2 linked regions of the Caenorhabditis elegans genome follow. The protein of the gene in region 1 interacts with the protein of each later gene in a pairwise test. Each region holds a gene or a part of one and is shown on either strand. Other genes may lie near its edges.

Region 1 (4,100 bases):
TATGCTGCGCTGTACGCATTCTCAGAATGTGTGAGTTTCCGTAATACTATAAAGTGCAATTGCGCTCCACGGACAAATCTCCACCCCAAACCGTTGGGTCTCGTTAGGAATTGGCGGGAAAACCGTTTTTGCCAATTTTCCAGCATTTTTCGCTGTTTTCAATGAGTTTTTTTTTGTCAAAATTGAAAAAGTTAATGTCATAATCATTTTTAACCATAATTTCGGCATAAAAACATAAAAAATAACGAAAAATGCTTGAAAACGGGTAAAATCGTCGGAAGTAATCGTTATTTCGACCTAAAACTTATAAAAAATATGAAAAAAAGCTTAAAAATTGGCAAGAATAATGTAAAACATTTGAATTTCCCGTCTTGCCGCCAAATATTTACCTAACGAGACCCATCGTTTAGGGGCGGGGCGCGTAATTTTTCGCGCCCAGATAATAATCCGTAATATTTCCAGATCTACCTACACCAATTCTCCCATGGTTTTGTGAACAATGCATTCCGTTTTTTGATCGTTTCCCGTTCAAGCTATTCACTTTTATGAACAAAAATAATTTTTCATACTTTTTTAAACCTGCATCACATAAAACATTGAATAGAAAAAATAATAAAAATAATTTAAATACAAAATTTTCTGATTCGACTACTACAATAATTCAGCGGCGGAAGAGGTTATCGGGGGCTTAAGCCTTGACGAATCCCTTCTCCTTGAGCTTGGCGACAAGTGCCGAGACATCGTCGACGAATCCTCCGGCCTGGCGAACTGGTGGCTCGGTGACTTCAAGAGTTTCAGTTTGTGGTGTGATATCTACATTCAGATCTTTGATTGGAATGTTCTTCAGTGGCTTCTTCTTGGCCTTCATGATGTTTGGAAGAGTCGCGTAGCGGGGCTCGTTGAGGCGAAGATCGGCGGATAGGACGAATGGCACTTTGACCTGGAAAATAGAAAATTTTTCGAATAAAACTTTAGATCCGTGAATTTTGCAAACAAAATAGCGGCGCGCAGAAATAGGGGCGGGGCGTTATTTTGCAACCTTGCGGCACGGTTTTTCCTCCTTTTTTCGCTTTTTCAATTTTTCATGTTTTAATCTCCTTTTTTTTCGAATAAGAACGTTATTTAATTAACTATCAAAATTTATTAATCGATCCTTGAATTTTGCAAGAAATTTTGTCGCCCAGAAAGTGGGGCGGGGCATAGCTTTTGCAACACTGCCGCACGGGGTTTGCCTCCGCCCCTTTTCTACTGCTTTTAAGCTTTTCTTGTTGATTTTTTCAATAATTTCTTTTTTTTTCGAATGAAAATCCAATTCGAAAAAAAAGAGAAAAATCGAAACTTTATTGAAAAAATCAACAAAAAAAGCAGTGGAAAAGGGGCGGAGACAAACCCCGTGCGGCAGTGTTGCGTAAGCTACGCTCCGCCCCACTTTCTGTGCGACAAATTTTTGCAAAATTTAAGGATCGATTAATAAATTTTGATTTTAAATTAAATAACGTTCTCATTCGAAAAAAGAGATTAAAACATGAAAAATTGAAAAAATCAAACAAAAAACAAGCGGAAAAAGGAAAAACCGTGCCGCAGGGTTGCAATATCAAGCCCCGTCTCGCGTTCTGTGCGGGGCTGCTTTTCACGGCTATCGATCGATATAGTAAGAATCACCTTAATCGTGTCAAGACCTCCATCAATTTCACGGGTGACCTTCATGTGTCCAGCGCCTGCGTCTTCAACCTTCGACGCGTAGAGAGCCTGTGGCCACTCGAGCAGGCCAGCGAGAATCGGAGCAGTTTGCGACGAATCATCATCGATTGCCTGCTTTCCGAGAAAAACCGCGTCGAACTTCTCCTGCTCGACAATCTTCTGAAGCGCCTTCGCCACGTGGAATGACTCGAGCTTGCCAGCTTCGGCGTCGGTCACCTGAACGTGAACTGCCTTGTCGGCGCCCTTCGCCAACGCGGTCCGGAGCACTTCGGCGGATTTTGGTCCGCCGAGCGAGAACGCGACGACTTCGGTGGCGAGCTTCTTCTCCTTGAGCTTGACGGCCTCCTCTAAAGCGATCTCGTCGAATGGATTCATGCTGTGTTGAACTCCTTCGGTGACGACTCCCGAGCGGTCCGGCTTGACACGGATCTGGAAATTTTGGGCTTTTATAGAATCGAAATGTGTCTAAAATCTCCAATTTATCCAAGTTTTCCGTGTCACAGCGGTTGGAAATCAGCTTTTATTGCCAATTTTAATCGATTTTCCGTTGATTGGGGTACACTTTGAGCCAAAAATGACAAAAAACTGATTTCCAACTGCTGCGACACGGAAAAGTTGGTGAAATTCAAGATTTTCGCCGAAATTAAGCTGTTTTTTCGAATTTTTTGCTCTTTTTCCTGAAATCCTACCTTGACAGCATAGTCGACAACTCTCTTGACTCCGACGAGAATCTTCATCGCTTGGCTGGAAGAAAAACTGGGAATAAATTTATTTATTTATTAATAAATGAAGAAATGATCGAAAAAAACAGCGGCGGCGGGGTCAAAGTACACACTTCAGAGTTCAGAATTTGATTTTTAAATTTGAATCAATTAATTAAAGCCGAAATTCGAAATTTTAGCCGAAAAATGTTTAAAATAGCTTTAAAACTGCCACGTTTTTCCTTAAAAACCTTCGAAAATTCCGTTTTTTATAGAAAATTCGTGAAAAATAAGAATAAAAATAATAAAACAAGTGATGAGAGAGATAAGACGATGTGGAGAGAGAGTGTGGGAAGACGAGAGACGCAGAGAATGAAACGCGGGCGGTGATTGTTGTGGCCTACACGTAAGCGACCGATTTGTAGAAAAAATGTTCTGAAAAATAAAAGAATAAATATTTCGAAGAAGACATGAGCTGAACTTCGTAGATCTAGATAGATTAGATAAAACAAAAAAAAAGCAGAAAAATTGTTGCTTCATTATTGAGAGAAATGTTGTATATACAAGAAAAAAAGCAGTATCTTAATTTTAAAAATGAAACCGTCAGCAGAATATTCATATTCACAGAAATTTCTTGAGAAATCTGGAAGATCACATGTTGCGAAGAGCAGCCAGGCGTTCTGTGAGGTCCTTGTCTTCTGAAACAGCTTGCGTCCCGGTCGGCAGAGCAGTTGGCACGTTTGACGGAAGCTCCTGGTTGAGCTCGATGCCTGCCTTGTCGGCGGCCTCTGCAATCAGAGCATCCACCTGTGACTTCGGAGCATTCAACACTGTCGTTCCGTCCATCGTCTTTTCCATCGTCTTTGTGGTCACGTCGAGATCTTCGAAATCTCTTTCGAATCTATCCATCAACTGTTGAACTTTCTCGAGATTCATGCTCTTCATGGCGCTTTCCATGGCTTTCACTACGCCGCTCATGCTGGCGGTTACTCGTTTTTGTGTGGCGGCGGTTTGAACTCGGGCGGCCACTGCGTCGATTCTGGCGGCCATTTTAATGTAGTTCACTGCTTCATTCTTCTTCCTGATCGCATTTTCAGCATGAACCTGTGCGACTTCTTTGTTTCCTTTCTGGAAAAAATCGAATTTAAAAAATAATTGTTTTTTTTTTCATTTTTAATTATTTTTTACCTTAATAGCTGCCGTCAGCTTGTCTTTCTCGACCTTTTCATCCTTCTCGCATCGTTGAGCATTCTTTTCCAACTGTTTCGCTGCGAATTTAAGATCAAATAAGTGTTCTGGAAGATAAAAACATGAAAATAAGTCAAAATCAAGAGAAATCAATTTGAAACTCACTTTCCAAGGCCATACTGCTTTCTCCGGCTCCCATGATGATTTTATGTGTATTAAGCTGGTATTTGAGTTTCTGAAATACGAGAATTACGGTGAGAAAGTGCTTTTATAAGTTAAATTTCGCAAGAAAGCGATAAAAACAAATTCATGAGTCATGTGTGTGTATCTGCGGACTTTACGTCATAAACGACGACACTTGATGTCCGCAAGCAGCGGATCTTACGACAATTTTGGGTTGTAGAAATTTCTGTATTTTAAGTCGGTTTCAGGCTATAAAACACAAAATTATCAACGTCAAAAATATTTCCAGATCCGCTATATGAATTTGAAAAAATTAACATCGTAATT
Region 2 (4,957 bases), on another chromosome or scaffold:
TTCAAAAAACTTGAAAATTTGAGCCATTTTTAATCACAAAAACTCATTTTTTCGCGATTTTCTGAAAAATGTCGTTAGATCTGGTGTTGGCGTACTTTTAAAGCTACAGTAACCCGGAAAAAGTGTGCTAGGGGTGAAAATTAGCGGTGAATTCGGTATTTTCAACCAAATTTCCTCAAATTTTCTCGAAAATTACGCACGTAAAAAGCTGATTGCTGGCGCTAATCGGCTGAACCCTCGTAGTTGGTATTCCATTAATTGTATACGGACTCCGTGGCCGTTGAGCCATATTTCCAGCCAATTGGCGTTCCATTCCAAGCATTCGATTGTCATAGGCAGTAAATGAGGAATTGGCACGAGAACGAGACGATGAATCGGCAATTGATGGAGTTTGTTGGTCTCCGGCTGGAAAATTCACTAGTTTTATGGAAAAATTCGCCAATTTTCTGTGAATTTCCAATTAAAAAAAAATGATTTTTCATGATTTTTAAAGCGAAAATAGGCTTGAATTTGTAGTTTTTCTCAATTTCAATACATTTTTACATAGAAATTTGTAGAAAATTCGAGAAAAAACGCCAAAGTTCTAATGGGTGGCCTAAAAACTTGCAAAAAGTTAGGCCACAGTGTTTGGGGATTTGCTCAAAATTTGATTTTTGTGGAATGATTCTATGGAAAATTGCAAATCTTATTGCGAAAATAAAAATTTGAGCATAGCTTTTTGGCTCAAAATCAGCTTGGTGGCCTAGAATTCCATAAAGATCGGTCACCGAAAATTTCTTAGCTGAAACCGATTTCAACACTTAAAATCCATCAAAACCCCAAAAATATGCTAAAAATCGGGTGAAAAATGAAAATTTGGGCATAGCTTCCGCATCTCCGAGTGACAAATGTGCTCTATTGTCAAATTGTTGGCAGAAATACGGTATTTATTCACATTTTCAGCCCAATTTGAGGATGAAAATGTGAATAAATACAGTTTTTAGTGCAAACAAAAAAAAACGAGTAGAGGCACATAAGTCACAGGGGAAAATAGTTCAAAAATTTTGTGGCCTAGAAATCCAAAGAGTTCGGCCACCGAATGATTTTAAATCCAAAAACCACATAGAATTCAGTTTTTATATTCAAAATTCGATTAAAAAGCGACTCTTCGCCAAAAAAAAGCCTCAAAAATTAAAAAAAAATTAATGAAAAAAAACGCAATAATTGTTGCTTGAGAATTAGAAATTTAATAAAAAATTTCTAAAAATCCGAGTTTTCCGACTGGTGGCCTAGAAATCCAAAAAGTTCGGCCACTTAATCATGGCAAAAATTTCGTTTTTTTTTCTATTGAAAATTAATGAAAAAAAAAACTTTTTTTTTTCAATTTTCCACATTTTTGTAGGTTTTATTTCAGCATTTTTTCTCGAAAATCGAACAAAAATAAGCACAATCTTCAACTTTTAAGGAGAAAAAAAATATTTTTATAAAATTCAGGTCAAATTTGACCGAAAATGTCTAATTTTTCGAATTTTTAATGAAAATAAATGTCAATTTTCAAATAAATTATCGACTTTTCAGTGATATTTGCTCCGTTTTTTCACAATTTTTCGCGGCTAAAACCGGTAAAACACCGAACTCAGCGTGCTGAGCACCCGTCCACGACTTGCAGATCTTCTTTGAAACGGCGATGAGGATGGAATCGAATTGGTCGGGGTACCTCCAATGGATCCCAGACCAATACTCGGACTATTTCTTATTGTTTCATTATGAAATAAGTGAGCCTGTCGACATCTCACAAGAAAATCCATCATATAATTCATTTCTACCGATTCGTTCATCAGAGCATCGATTTTTTTGCGAAGCGGTTTTATTCCGTTCGGATCACGAAGTTCGCCTGGAAAACTGCCGCTTTTTTTTTTGGTTTTTTCCCTGGAATTTCATACATTTCTTAACAAATTGATCTACACATGTTCTCGAAGCGTTCACATCGTTGAGCTGACGGCTGTGGAATAGCCCTTCTTGAACTTTTATCACATCTGAAATACAGAAAATTGCAAAATTTTGATTAAAAATCCGTTTTTCTACGGAAAAATCGGCTGAAAATGGTTTTTTTTGTGCAAAAATCGCGAAAATTCACAAGTTTTTCGGCTTGAAAATGAAAATTTGGGCATAGCTTCCGCATCTCCAAGTGACAAATGTGCTCTATTGTCAAATTGTTTGCAGAAATACGGTATTTATTCACATTTTAAGCCAATTTAAGGCTAAAAATGTGAATAAATACCCGTTTTTACTGCAATCAATACGAATAGAGGCACAAGAGTCACAGGGGAAAATGTTCAGAAGTTTGGTAGCCTAGAAATCCAACAAGTTCGGCCACCAATTGATTTTAAATCCAAAAACTGACTAGAATTCGGTTTTTATAGTTGAAATTCTAATAAAAACCGATTCATCACCAAAAAACCGTCTAGAAAATTTCAAATATCTCAAAAAAAAAAAAGACTTAAAATTAAAATTTTGGTTTTAAAATTTGAATTATTCAAAATTCAAAATCCCCGTTTTTATGTAGAAAATCAAATAAAACGGTCTATTTTTAATGGGTGGCCTAGAAATCTAAAAAAAAAGTTAGGCAACCAAGAGAAAAAAAGCCGAAATTGGAGTTTCTCTAGTAAAAAACGAGATTTGAACGAAAAATTCAAAATAAAATTTTTGGCTCAGAAAATCGTGGCCTAAAAAAATCCAAGGAGTTCGGCCACCAATATATTCTTTTGATGAAAAAAATCTGAACTCTTATTATAATTTCAGGAGTTTTTCTGCAAAATGTCGTAAGATTTGGTGTACCACAGTGTTTGCGTACTTTTGGTGCTACCGTACCCCTCGAAATTCGAATATTTACTTGAAATTATTGATATTTTATGGAAAATCTCATTTTTTCGTCAGAAATTCGATTTTTCAGTCAATTTTTCGGCTTTTTCGGTGTTTTTTCTTCTAAAATTCAATCCAATTACCTCTATCATGAAACCCGAAAGCATTTAAAAATTGCTGTACAGCTTCAACTTCTTCGCTGCCTTGTCGACGCATTTATCTGAAATTTTTCCATTTTTTTTTCATAAAATTTCAAGTTTTTGGTTAATTTTCTCCAAAAAATATTCAGATTTTAGTTTTTTTTTAAACAAAAATTAAATTTCTCGCAAAATTACCCAATTTTCAGGAAGAAAAATCGATTTTTAGTGATTTTAATTCAGAAAAATTCGGGGAAAACTGAAAATTCCCGTAAAAAATAGAGATAAATATACACAAATAGGTAACAAAACCAGCACAACACAGCAAAAAAAGGGAAAAATTACAGAAAAATCGATAATTTATTCGAAAATTGATAAAAGGGTAGAGGAAAATTGGAAAAAATGGGGGAAAAAGACAATTTTTAAGGTGAAAATGAGTGAAAATATCGATTTTTCAGGCAAATTTCAGGGAAAAATTGAACATTTTGAGTGAAAAAAAGGGCTTTTTGCGGAATTTTAAGTGAAAATAGGCGAATTTTCAGCCAAATTTCAGGGAAATGGCATATTTTTAACTGAAATAAGTGACATTTTGGCTATTTTTCACGGAAATTCGAAATTTTTAGGAAAATATTGTCATTTTAAGCTAATTTTTCAATAAAATGGTAACATTTTCACAAAAATAGGCAAAAATGCCAAAATGTTGCCCAAATTTCCAGTAAAAAAGGGATGTTTTAGGGAAAAATAGTGGAAAAAATCGCGATTTCAGCAAAATTTCGATAAAAACAACGAAAAAAAAAGGCAAATTTTCACAAAAATAGGCAAAATTTGGTCAAAAATGCCAAAATTTTGACATTTTTGCTCAATTTTCAGGGAACAAAAAGGGAATTTTACGATTTCAGCCAAATTTCGATATTTCCAGCTCATTTTTAGCCAAATTTCAGTCAGATTTCAAGAAAAATAGGAATTTTCAGCGGAAAAAAGTGGAAATTAACAGAAAATTGGAACATTTTTGATAAATTAGAGGTGATATAGGTGAAAATTCGGCGAAATTTTGTGATTTTTCGCTCATTTTCGCCGCCAAAAAGCCAATTTCTACGACTTTTTCGATCCGAATTTCTTTCGTTCGTAGAACAAATCCGTCTTCGCACTTCCCAAATTCACAATTTTCGGGCATCCGTCACGATCCTTTTCGAGAATTGTGCATTCTTTGCAATAATATGCATCACTGACGCCAGCGCCACCACAAATCACACACCGACCCTGCAAAAAAAAAAATGGAAATTTTAATTTTTAGCCGAAAAAAAACATGAAAATTTCGCGTTTTTCCGATTTTTTTTTAGAAAAATTTGTAAATTTTGCCGTTTTTCACTCGTTTTTTGAGAGAAATTTCACAAAATTTTGCATTTTTCAGTCGAAAAATATGAAAATTTTTCAATTTTCCTGGTTTTTCCCCTCTTTTCTGAGTAAAAACCCGTTTTTAATGGAGAATTTGAAGAAATCCAGTCAAAAATTTGAATTTTTTAAAGAAAAAATTAGTAAAAAAAAGCTGAAAATTGCACTTTTTTGAATAGCGTTTTTCACGCGTTTTTTGAGAGAAATTTCACAAAATTTTGGATTTTCGAGCATTTTTTGCGGAAAACTGACAAATTTAGCGTTTTTTACGCCGAAAAGCTGGTAATTTCCGCAAATAATGTCAATTTTTAGTGGAAAATTTGAATTTTTCCATATTTTTCTTTTTCCAAAGTGAACTTTTCAACGTTTTTCACAATTTAAAAAAAAAAAAAAAAAAAAAAAAAATATATATGAAAATATCCTGAAAATTGGAGCATTTTGAGGGGGAAAAGCTGGAAAATTGAGAAAACTTCAATTTTTTCGAGAAATTTCACAAAATTTTCGACTTTTTAGTCGAAAAAACATGAAAAATTCGAAAATTTTCCCATTTTTCACGGGAATTTTCAGATTAAAAATTAAAAATTTAT

The links. Proteins that work in one complex are often made in the same cells at the same time.
Region 2: the proteins of etfb-1 (region 1) and gip-1 interact in a two-hybrid assay, tested with the Caenorhabditis elegans proteins (one large-scale study listed by BioGRID).

Annotation. Positions count from the first base shown.
Region 1 is NC_003279.8:2,417,909-2,422,008, forward strand, and holds etfb-1 (Electron transfer flavoprotein subunit beta), read right to left. Parts: upstream 2,446-4,100; 5' UTR 2,439-2,445; coding exon 2,391-2,438; intron 2,131-2,390; coding exon 1,663-2,130; intron 941-1,662; coding exon 689-940; 3' UTR 553-688; downstream 1-552. Other genes in the region: F23C8.13 (PDZ domain-containing protein), read left to right, coding at 463-549; did-2 (Charged multivesicular body protein 1b), read right to left, coding at 3,054-3,530, 3,591-3,697, 3,756-3,789.
Region 2 is NC_003281.10:2,345,695-2,350,651, reverse strand, and holds the start of gip-1 (Gamma tubulin complex component protein N-terminal domain-containing protein), read right to left. Parts: upstream 3,062-4,957; 5' UTR 3,058-3,061; coding exon 2,985-3,057; intron 2,016-2,984; coding exon 1,923-2,015; intron 1,874-1,922; coding exon 1,616-1,873; intron 406-1,615; coding exon 201-405; intron 1-200. Other genes in the region: phf-5 (PHD finger-like domain-containing protein 5A), read right to left, coding at 4,071-4,238.